Linked DNA regions of Caenorhabditis elegans. The protein of the gene in region 1 purifies or fractionates together with the protein of each later gene. This does not show direct contact. Each region holds a gene or a part of one and is shown in the gene's direction. Other genes may lie near its edges.

Region 1 (5,665 bases):
AGGAGCCACTTCCAATATATATATATAGGTCTTCAATGCAGTTATAATCAAAATTATCAAAACAAAAGAAAAAGGAGAATATTGAGATTGGAGGAGGTCACCCTAATTTGGTAGCCATTTGCAAATGGGCGGAGCTTTGATGGGCGGGCCCGAGTCGTCCGATTCGTTGCTCCGCCAAATGAAGTCTCCGGCAGAGTTGATTGAAAGTCGTTTGGCACTTTTTTTCGGAGGTTTATATGGATATGAACTCCAATTTTATTGAAATTAGCAAAAAAAACGTTTCGAATGGGTTCGTATAGTTGGTTGAATAATGTGATTTAATCTAATTCGCGTAATACGTTATTCAAGATTTTATAAAGGTTTATTATTTACGAAAAAAAGAAAATCAGTAAAAAATAAGAAAAAAAAACGGTAAAACTTCAAAAACACTTAATCTAAAACAACTACATCGTCGTTGCATGAAAGAGGTTCGCAGATGTTCTTGTGCCAACTTTCCCACTGTTGATGGTCCAATTTGCGATAATAAGCTGCGAACTGAAACAAATGTTATATTAAAATTGCAAATTTAAAAATACTTACATCTCCGAATGACATATTTGTATGACAGGAGCTTTTTCTGTTCAAACATGCAAAACTTCCGCACTCGCATTTTCCATTGAGATGATTTTTCATGTAGTTGTATCCGTAGTCCATTGTAAGCTGAAATGTAAAAACAAACTTTATGAGCTAGATTGATAGTGGTATAAAATTTCCAAATCAAGACTTATAAAATAGCTTACCGGTGTTCCTGGATAAATGTTTAACAGCGAAATGAAAACGAGATGTACGTGAGCTGGTGAAAGACCTTTCTGGTAGACACGAACGATTTCTAAATTCGGCGAACAGCTATGACAAATCATTCGTCCAACGTTTCCTTTGGCTTTTGGATCAATGAAAAATTCTTCGTAGCTCAACTTCTTCAAAAACTTTTTATAGTCATCAGAGAATTTCATTGTATCCAAAAGACGCCTCCAGTTCGAATTGTCTTTATCTGTGAGCTGATAAGCATAATCTTGACTGTCACGATCTAGTTGATTACGCTCAACTATTTCTCCAGTAAATTCCAATACTGCCGTGCCAGCTGGAATCAGAACAGATGAACGTAATCCAAATCCAACGTTTTCATTGCTTCGATAGATCTCGAGCGGAAACAGTTTTTTGTTAAGAATTAATAAACTGTTATTGGTGCAGTTTCCTTTGCAGCCACACGCTTCAGAGCAGGAGAATCCAATACATCTATCGAATGTACTATTCGAATTGGAGAACATTACTGGATCAAACGACGCCTGAACTTCTTATTAAAAATTTTTTCATATTCTTACGGAAGGACTTACGAATTTGGTAGGAGGGTGACTGGAACTATTTATTTGTAATCCTTGCAGTTTTTGGTTTAATTTATAGCACGGGCAGTTTTCGTTTTCGTAGCATGGTACAATTGGATTCGATGAGCAACAATCACAACGAATCTGAAAAAGAAAATAAGTTGTTACCTTGAAGAAAAACTAAATTTAGCAATACATAAAATAACTGAACAATTGACTAGAAATAATCTTCAGGGAAAGAAAGAAGAATAAAGTACCGTATTCTCTTCCTTTTGAGACATAATACATGCTTTCGCAATGTTTCTTGCGGAGCACGGGTTCAAAACATTCGTGTCTGTATATTCGAAGAGAAGAGTATCGGGAATTTGAATTGAAGTCAATTTTTCATCTGGTAGATCAGAATAGACAGGAACGATATCTAAGGTGTTGAAAGTGAGATTCTCTGTTACTCGAATTCTTTTCCTTGGAGTAATATAAGTCGGCGAAAGCAATGGAACACTGAAAAGAAATGTATTAAAATAATATAATTAAATTAATTCCTCACTCTTGGCCGGAATCCGGACATGTGGAAATTTCATGTTCCCTTCCTTGTGAAATCATTGCTCGTTGTCCCAATATTCGCATCATTGTGCCTTTCACATCCTCATCATATTTGGGGAGCAGTTTCCAGTTTCCATTAAGATGTGGATCGTTTCGGATTTTATTCAGAACTTTAACATGCGACTGGCTGTAATTTTCTACGTCTGGTTTCGTTTCCACAAGACAAGCAGATTCTTTGAGAAACGTTCTTCGTTCTTCGTAGCCGGCGGCAAGATATATCGGGAAATCCTGCTCCGCTTTGAATGGAGGTGCCTTTAAATAAAAGTGTTAAAAAGGAGAAAACGTAAGTTTACGCAAACCTCAAAGATACACATGTTTGATGCGAGCATTTCAGTGATTGGGCCTCTTGAACTGTGTTGACGAAGCTTTTTCTTCGTTCGTGACTTCGATTTCGATGACATCTTATATCAAGAATCTGAAAGACAACATTTAGAAGCATAGCACTCAAACCTGAATGTTTGAATACGAAAATAATTAAAATAGGCGGAGTTGACAAAAATAACTTAGTTCACATGTAAAAACTTATGAACAAAATTAGACTTTTATTTTATAACAGAACCCGAAATCGTTTGAAATTAACGTTCCGGCCGGATGCAAGTTCAGAAAAACAAAAATTCAATCAACAAAAAACACTATTTTCAAAAAAGTTTGAATTTTTGAAGTACGGTAATTTGCGTTGTGAGACCTCGTGAAGATATTCCCTGTTCCTTTAATTGCTTTTAAGATTTTCTTTTCGAATTTTTCTATTTTTCTTCAACTGTGGATTAAAAAAGAGGTTTCGTGTTGCATAATTAATCGTTCACACGAATTTATAAATTTTATTTTTAATTAAAATTAAATAATCCCCTTACTCACTTTAACTTCTAACCGGCGCGTATGATTTTAGGCCTATGATTCCTATCGTCTCTAAAGATACATTTTCAGCACTTTTCTTCTTCTTAAATCGATATTTTAAAAGAAAATGGACGACTCAACGCCGTACCCTGTTCCTCAAGAACTTTATATTCCCCAAAAAATGAAGGCATTCATGGCAGGTTGGGAATAGCTTTGTAAACATTAACAACCATGTATTATATCATTTTCAGAACCTCAAGGATGCGCTCTGGTTGCAGCTCTTGAAGGACAGTTTCAATGCTCCATAGTTGTAATCAACGATCATCTCTCTGTGATCAGCAGTGCTGATGGTGTCGCAGTGGACATAAATCAAATTGAAAAAATCTTACGGGACGTATGGCGAAAGAGAGATGTTCAAATGTTAGTAATTTCTGCTGAACTCAACGATTTAGAATTACCTGTTTCAGTATGATACGAGAGGCTGCCCTCAATGCATCTTGTACACACATTTGTCATACTCTTCTACCACGGGCATACTGTGCTGTTGTTCTCTTCTTCTCTTCTGATTTGCAACGGAGATCCCGCTGCACTGATATTATCGTGAGCTTGTTAAAACTACTGTGCTGATTTTATTTTTCAGATTGACCAGTTCACTGGCAAGGTAACAATGTTCGGAACTGAGCAAGCTGTCAATAAAGCGAGAGAGATGATGATAGAATGTTTGACAGAACATTTCGGTCTTCTGGAAATGAATATTCCGCCTACACAACGAACCACACGAATGGGCTACAGTTCGTTGAAATTTTCACACTTCTAATACTCATTTTGTTCTAGCAAATTCGTACAATCCGGAAATTCGAACACACCTCCCACCAAATAGCTTTCTGAACTCAGTGTTTCCGGTAGAAAATAACGTTTCAGATGACATCTAATATTATTTTCTACAGATGGGCGAGCCGAACGCGATATTGACATCGACACCGCCGACGACGTCTATTATGGATGAACCTCTTCTTTCCGCAAGCCTAGAGAAGCACCTCCTTTTCCCATCGGATTTTTCGGTTCCACCTCCAAGGCTTTCTCCAGTGCAAGAGCTTCCTTTAACCCCACCAAAAACATGCGTTGTCGAAAAAATCAAGCAATGGGTACGATTAATGTCAATTTTAAAGTATTTTTACATTTTATCGTTTCAGATTCCAACCACGGAAGTAGGAAAAATATTAGGAAATCGTGCTGCAGTGAAAAAGCATATCGAGAGACAATTCAATTGCGTTATTACCGTTCACACTGAAGTCCAGTCTTCATTCGGAGCTACACCGGTAGAAATCGTGGCTCAGAACAAAGAACAATGTCAGGAAGCACGCAATGCAGTTATGTCCCTCATGCAATCACACCAGGACAAACCTGCTTCAAATCCTCCCGATTCTGGGTTCAGTACGCCTGGATCTCCATTCACTTCAGATAGTTCTTCAACAACTCCCGAGAAGCGTGGTAATTCGAGACAATATCATCGCGGCAGTTTCCGTGATCAGCCAAAGGTGATGCTTGCATTGACACCACGTAAACTTTCCCCGTCTGATTAATACCTGTGATATTCGTTCCTTGTCCCCTCTATATCATGCACCCTATTTTTCTTCTGATATCATTTTTCATGTGGATGCCAAACTCTGTTTCATTTCATTTATTAGTTCCTTTTGCTTGCTCATGTATTTTGTTTTCTAGATTAATCCTGTGATGCTTTGTGTAAAATGCTGATTGCCTTGTTCGTTGTGTGTTATTAATAAAAACTTCTTCTTCTTAAACTTCAAGGAATGTCGACATTAATGTCTGTATCGAAAATTGTTTTTTAACAACAAGTATTTTTTTCAATCGTAACAATTTCTCTCAGAACAACAATCTTGTTATTTTTCTGTTCGGCGTCCTTCGTAGTGTTTACTTCTCCAGTATCATTCTCATCTCTAGTGAAGCCTGATCGTTTTCATAGTTTTGCCAGACTTCTTAAAATATATTTTCTAAATATCATTCTACTTCTATAATTCATTTGAAAAATGACTTGTCAAGAACATCGCGGTGAATTCGAGAAAAGCTGGTCAAATATCCATTCGGAAACTGGAGAAGTATTTAAAGGTTTTATGCGTCTGTAGATTTTATATTCTATGTTCTTTATTGTCCGTTCTAAACTGCAAAGCATGTACATTCTTCTACTCACTGATCCCTTCTCAATTTTTGTTGTGACCGCCCGCCTGACCGCCAAACATTCGTCCTCACACGCGCTATTCGCAACTGTCAATAGCATTTAGAACTAGCAAAAACTTATATTTTCCAATTGATATAACTTATTGGCGTTAGAATGTCAGTAGTGTTCGCTGTGATCATTCAGACTATCTTCAAGTTTGATGTTTCCGTTTCAGAAACATTTAAAACAATTATTTTTTGGACGAACTGTCATTTTATTTATTTTTCATTAATGACTATATATCCATCCATGTTTTTTTCAAAACTCGTGCACCAACTCTTAAGTTGACGAGAGCACAAGATTTTGGTTCTCCTTGAAAATGAAATCGCGAGCCTCCCTTTTCAAAATCGATCCGCAACAGCATGTTTACTCGTTTGGCTTTCTCTTCAATGTCCTTCTGTCTAACACACTCCTCGCTCTGTACGCTCTCTCGTAAAATTTTGTTGTTCTTTTCCTACTGCCTCTGCCATTTTAAATGACCGATGAGAACAATCGGCCACCAACCACCACCAATGCCTGAATTTCGATGACCTTTTCTTCTTGTTTTCCAGTTTATTTATCAGACGGACTGTCACTGAATCAGTGTGAAGAGAATTATAATCTAAAAAAATGATGCAAAATACAACTGTTCGCC
Region 2 (6,264 bases), on another chromosome or scaffold:
AACAACAAACTTGTGTTGTTGTTTTTTTTAATAAATATTTAGAAATACTGTGGCTCTAAAAATGTTGCCAACAAAGTGCAAGTCAAGAAGTTTTCAAAACGTTTGGAAAAAAAATTGTAAATTGTTCAAAGTTTTGCAGAATGAAGTATCCTAAGTAAGTAATTTTAATTGGAATTTGTTTGTATTACAAGATAGGTTGAACTCAATTTTGACCACTGTATATATTTTTGCCAAAAATTACCGATTAACAAAATTGGCAATTTATTCACCAAGAACGCTGTCAAAAACCTGTAAATCATTTATAAAAAACGAACATTAAGCTAAGTTTAATAAAAGTTTGATAAACTATTATTTAGAATAAAAATCCCAAATTTTAGATTAAAACTTAGTCTTTAAAATTTTCAAACAAAAAACCGTATGGATCTTTCCACAAAATAATAAAACAACCATATATTAAAATGTCATATAGTAAAATTAAAATTTTTTTTTTTAAATAACCACCGTATATACTTTTAGCACTTCTGGGCAATTGAAAAATTGAGAAAATACGGTTTTTTTTTAATATTTGCATTTGATTCTATAACATCCTGTTGTCTTCAGAAAACCTGCTGAGATCTCAATTCCAGATTTCCCAAACCATCGCAAAAACGTTTCAGAAAGCATTAACCAACAAGTACCCTACTCTCTATGTTTTGCTCTCAGTAATCCTAAGATGATCGATCCCTAAGGCTCGGTGACGAACAACTGCTTGAACTGCTCCTCAAGTTGTGCACTTTGTGCAACACGAAAGGACAATCGAGTGTAGAAACTTTGTTTACACTTTTCAGATGCCTGTAAACAAATTGGCTCATCTTCATCATCTTCGGATTCTTCTTCTTCTTCAAAACTTTTTATAATGCCACATATGTGCGATTCATCTTCTTTTTCTTCCCCCCGTCTCACACATAAGTGTATACAAATTCTGATCAGAGTGGATGAAGAATGTTTATGAAACAGCAAAAATAAGCGTTTAGTCTTATTCTTTCCTCCATCACATTGTGGCGGACACCAAACATCGAAAGAGTCTGTAAGAAAAATATCTGTACGGTTTTTCCAAACTGATATGTTGATTATTGTGCATTTCCTTTCAGAACTTCTCTTTTGAAACAATAATAAAATTGTACACATCTCGTTTTTTTTCCGGTTTACTAAATTTCAAAAATTTAGATGTACGACCTTGTCCAGATGGTCTACATGTGCTCACAGTGCCAGGCATCCCTCGAATTGCAGCAAAAAAGAGCTAGAACCACAGCCGGCTTAAAGTACTAGTCGGTGTCATTTTCATCATTTCGAGCAGCTGTTGAAGTGCGTTTCATGAAGAAAAACTTGACCCCTCGACGTGTCGTTTTTATACTCACAATGTTGCCGAAGCGTCAGGAGGCACTTAGTGCCGGCTTGCCGTGGTCAAGGGGAAAGCTGTGATAAGGAAGGATAGGGAGGAATTTTTTCTGGCAAGGATAGCACTTTGAAAACTATAGTTTTGCAAAGGACAGACTATTTTTAAATCTGATTTTTCAACTAGTAGAAATTATGTCCCAAAACCAAGAAAAATTATGTACCTTTTTTGATGAGGTGTCTTGCATAGGTTCGTGTAGCTTACTTGTACTAGAATCAAGCTATTAGTTTTAGAATGCTCACTAAAAATTGTTACTAATGACTAAAGCATTGGTTTCAAAATTTTCATGTCAAATTGCTGGAAATTGATGTCAAAAATTAACCATTACCTAGAAAAAATGCGGTGCTTTGTGCATTATTTTCTTCAAACTTGCAGTCTTTGCTTGTTCCACAAATCGTTTCCAGATGTACTTTCAACCCATTACATTTGGACTTCTTAATCCCAAACTGATTCAGATGCTCATCGGTTATCGTCAATCAATTGCTGACAGCTATGTGCACTTTATCAAAGTTTTCTTGGAAGGGAGGGTCAACAGATTGATAAGAGGAAAGGGGAGAAGATGAATTTAGATCGGTGAATAGCAACATAGAGTGATTGAAGAGATTGAGCATTTGGAAAGGATTTAGAGTACCGAATTTTGGACATTTCCATATACACTGAAGATTTCTCAGTTTGAACAGTTTGGTCTGGCTGAATAGCTTTATTTTTGAAAAGATGAAGGTTGACATTCCTAGGCTTTATTAAAGTCTATTTAGTGTTTTTTGTTTTTGAAATCTATGTAGTCATGTTTAGTAATGCTTCTGAACTTTTGACCTTTCAGAATTAAGTAAACATATACAATTATAAACATGGAAAGAATAAGAAAAGTTTTGCAGAAAGTTATTACAATTTTTTAAATTTTAGCTTATGATAAACTAATTGCAAAAAACACTTGGTCTAAGTCATAATTTATCGGTACCTTTTCAATTTTTCATCTATCTTATTGAACTTTTTCACCCGATCAATCTACTGACCATATGCACATGTTGCGGTCGGTCCCTCCCGTAACAATCCGTGTCGCTTTTTTTTTAGCTCGATTGATTCCGCTAGATTCCTTGCGTTGGTTGTCTATCCGACGCCGGGCATCTCGAACCTCTTCGCTTCCGAAGCATTCGGCTTGATCTTTCGCATATTACAGCGTGCACTGCTGCCGTCTGTGCCTCGGAAGACGACGGACGGAGCAGCGGTCCCTCCTTCTCTCTCTCTCTTTCTTTCGATCGTTTTGGACGCCCCGCCTCCTTAACTAAGAGTTGAATCCTTTCTTCTAACTGGTGCTCTCACAGCCAGCGGCTGCCTACCACCATGAAGCAACGAGCGGCTCTCGGGTAAGACTTTCTCTTTTTTGGTTCAACTTACCATATTTGATTTGTTCTGTATTTTTGAACAAATCTTCTTGAACATATTCCAACTTTTGAAATTTTAACTACGTTTTTCAGAATCTAGCCATTGAGTCCTAAACCATCCAGAAATTTTGATTTTTGAAAAAACAGTACTATTCAATTTTAACTTTTTTAAATTTTTTATTTATTTTTAACTTTGCAGGCCCGTGTTGCGACTGGCCATATTGGCCTTACTAGCTGTGAGCTATGTTCAATCGGTAAGCTTTTTTTTTACTTTTTTACTTGTTGAAATATGTAATGAAATATGTAAACTGATTTTTTTTGAGTATGACAAATTATAATTAGAATTTTTTTCAGTAGATTTGAAACGTTAAGCCTAAAAAGTGAACGTTTGAAAACTAAATTTTTTAAAATTTATTTTTTTGAAATTCATATATTTTTCTATAATTTTCAGCAAGCTACATGCAGAGATTGCTCTAACCGAGGATGTTTCTGCGTCGGAGAAAAAGGATCTATGGTACGTTTAATTTTCGTGTTTTTTTTTAAAGAAAATCTCTAAATCTGTAACTTTTTGTTTAGAAGTGCATTTTTCGAACTCCTTATTACTTTTAAGAATAGTTAACTCTCTCCCCAATATCTTCACAACAAGCTCATTGATTGAGCACCTCTTACTGATTGTAACATTTCGAGAGCTCTCCGAGCAAAAGACGCGCTCCGCAGCTGTCACTATCCTCCCATCCAGCGTGGCACCCTGTCAGACGTGGGAGGAAAGGGTCAACGGGGGTCACACAAAGCAATTGTTGAAATCAACACCTTAAGATTTATACTGATTAGTTGACCCTATTAATGATTTTAGACGTGGAATCTTTTATTGAAGAGTCGAAATTTCAGGGAGCACCAGGACCACAAGGTCCACCTGGAACCCAAGGAATCCGTGGATTCCCAGGACCAGAAGGACTCGCTGGACCAAAAGGACTGAAAGGAGCTCAAGGTATGTAAGCAAGTGTCCGGAATAAAAGTACAGAAAAGTGTAGTTGTTTGTATTTCCGATAAAGATAAAAAGGTGAAGCTCTTCAATCATCTTGTCATCTCGCTCCCCTTTGCTTGCAAATTTCAATCACTCAATCAAATCTTTAATCATCTTTGAAGCGGAGGGAGCCAGGTCACCTCGCTTCCCGCTATCTTCTTCTTTTCATTCAATATCTTCCGCGGCGGGGAGCAGTATAAGATAGAATAATTGAGTGGGCTCCCCCCCCTACAGCCTGAGGAGCTGATGTTGTAAAATTGACTAACCTGAGTCATCGTTGTTGCAGGACCCCCTGGACCAGTTGGAATCAAGGGAGATCGTGGAGCCGTTGGAGTACCTGGATTCCCAGGAAATGACGGTGGAAACGGACGACCAGGAGAGCCAGGACCACCAGGAGCCCCAGGATGGGATGGTTGCAACGGAACTGACGGAGCTCCAGGAATCCCAGGACGGCCAGGACCACCAGGAATGCCAGGTGAGGATTTTTAAACAATTATCTAACGATCTGACACTCAAGTTTTCTTAAGTTTTCAAAAATATCACAACTTTTTTAAAAATAATAGTTTCAAAACTTTGTTGTGATAGGGAAGTCTAGTCTGTAATTAAATATTCCATAATACTTTTGTCTTTAATCTTGTTGCAACAAGTTGATTTTAGCTAAAGTCTAACCAGTTAGAAGTATATTAGTACTAATGCCAGCTGTCACAAAAAAAACTTCATTGGAATCTGATTTCGCATTGCGGTCAATCAGCAAACAGCTCGACACTAGAGCAAAAACTTTGCTAGTTAAAAAAAGCAGCATCGCACATACACACATATTTTTCTGGCATCTCAGTTTACACCAACAGTTGTTCCTTTCACTTCTGTCGCTTCCAACCCAGTTTTATGAGTGTTTCGCTGGCAAAAAAACCACAAGATAAATTGCTGAAAATATTGAATTTGAAGTGATCAACAACCAGTTTAATATTTCTTTTAGGATTCCCCGGACCACCAGGAATGGACGGTTTGAAGGGAGAGCCAGCTATCGGATATGCTGGTGCTCCAGGAGAGAAGGGAGATGGCGGTATGCCAGGAATGCCCGGACTTCCAGGACCATCCGGTCGTGATGGATACCCAGGAGAAAAGGGAGACCGAGGAGATACTGGAAATGCTGTAGGACCTTGTTCTTTGGTTTTCGAGAAACTAACTCTTTAATTATTCCAGGGACCACGTGGACCACCTGGAGAGGCTGGATCCCCAGGAAACCCAGGAATCGGAAGCATTGGACCAAAAGGAGATCCTGTGAGAAATTGGGGCTATTTGGGTTTTGGGATATTTCTAGAAATTTTGTTTCTCCCTTTCAGAAATGCTTTTTCATTCTGAACTCCAATCATTTTAATTATTGTATTTTCTAAATTCTAGGGAGATCTAGGTTCTGTCGGACCACCAGGTCCACCGGGACCACGTGAGTTCACCGGATCCGGCTCAATTGTCGGACCTCGCGGAAACCCTGGAGAAAAGGGAGACAAGGTACTGTTTATTAATTCTTTCTTTTTTTAGGGAGACATTGGTGCGATGGGACCGGCCGGTCCGCCAGGCCCAATCGCCTCCACCATGTCCAAGGGAACCATTATCGGTCCTAAGGGAGACCTAGGAGAGAAGGGAGAGAAGGCAAGAATACTTAGAGCAGGCTAACTGAACGATTCCAACCATTTACAATTTTTTACACCCGCCTTATTTACGCTAACTCTAACAGTTTTCGCCTCAGTTTCTAAAAGAAGCCTTTTTTTCAAATTACTTCTACTTTCTTGCCTTTCAAGCTTCTTTTGCATGATCTTCCCAGAGTTCATATAGACTAGAATAGCTGTATTATTTGGCATTGGAAACTTCTACTACTTCTAGCTCTGCCTTATTCTCTTTTCATTTTTTGAAACGGAAAAGAGAACAAAATTTTAAACTTACACGTTTACTGTTAGTACGAATCAATAACTGCATAGCTGGTTTTCCGTGTGTGTTTTGCTATACATCTAATTTCCCCTCTATGTTTCTAATATGTTTTGTGTTGCAGGGAGAGCCAGGAGAGGGAGGTCAACGCGGTTACCCAGGAAATGGAGGACTCTCAGGACAGCCAGGACTCCCAGGAATGAAGGGAGAAAAGGGATTGTCTGGACCAGCTGGACCAAGAGTAAGCATCGAATCCTGCTATATTTTATTAAAGATTTTGATTTTAGGGAAAGGAAGGTCGCCCAGGAAACGCTGGACCACCAGGATTCAAGGGAGATCGTGGTCTTGACGGACTTGGCGGAATCCCAGGACTTCCAGGCCAAAAGGGAGAAGCTGGATACCCAGGAAGAGATGGGCCAAAGGGTAACTCCGGACCACCAGGACCACCAGGAGTAGGATTTTGTTTTGAAAACATTAAACATTAAATTGTTCAATTTTCA

What was found. Proteins that work in one complex are often made in the same cells at the same time.
Region 2: the proteins of mina-1 (region 1) and let-2 purify together in Caenorhabditis elegans (affinity purification with mass spectrometry, with the first as the bait; one large-scale study listed by BioGRID). This does not show direct contact.

What each region holds. Positions count from the first base shown.
Region 1 is NC_003279.8:9,515,955-9,521,619, reverse strand, and holds mina-1 (Messenger RNA-binding inhibitor of apoptosis 1), read left to right. Parts: upstream 1-2,883; 5' UTR 2,884-2,922; coding exon 2,923-2,995; intron 2,996-3,046; coding exon 3,047-3,215; intron 3,216-3,262; coding exon 3,263-3,395; intron 3,396-3,435; coding exon 3,436-3,586; intron 3,587-3,629; coding exon 3,630-3,697; intron 3,698-3,742; coding exon 3,743-3,940; intron 3,941-3,988; coding exon 3,989-4,378; 3' UTR 4,379-4,594; downstream 4,595-5,665. Other genes in the region: set-32 (SET domain-containing protein), read right to left, coding at 430-534, 580-699, 780-1,325, 1,374-1,505, 1,619-1,859, 1,906-2,213, 2,261-2,362; tspo-1 (TspO/MBR family protein), read left to right, coding at 4,844-4,922. UniProt on the Caenorhabditis elegans protein: RNA-binding protein which binds to its own mRNA and target mRNAs to negatively regulate gene expression to modulate apoptosis and differentiation in the germline.
Region 2 is NC_003284.9:16,385,840-16,392,103, reverse strand, and holds the start of let-2 (Collagen alpha-2(IV) chain), read left to right. Parts: upstream 1-2,776; coding exon 2,777-2,799; intron 2,800-3,016; coding exon 3,017-3,071; intron 3,072-3,086; exon of another isoform or gene 3,087-3,183; intron 3,184-3,268; coding exon 3,269-3,331; intron 3,332-3,472; exon of another isoform or gene 3,473-3,632; intron 3,633-3,705; coding exon 3,706-3,805; intron 3,806-3,864; exon of another isoform or gene 3,865-4,127; coding exon 4,128-4,316; intron 4,317-4,817; coding exon 4,818-4,993; intron 4,994-5,044; coding exon 5,045-5,122; intron 5,123-5,242; coding exon of another isoform or gene 5,243-5,350; intron 5,351-5,380; coding exon 5,381-5,491; intron 5,492-5,888; coding exon 5,889-6,005; intron 6,006-6,051; coding exon 6,052-6,216; intron 6,217-6,264. UniProt on the Caenorhabditis elegans protein: Collagen type IV is specific for basement membranes.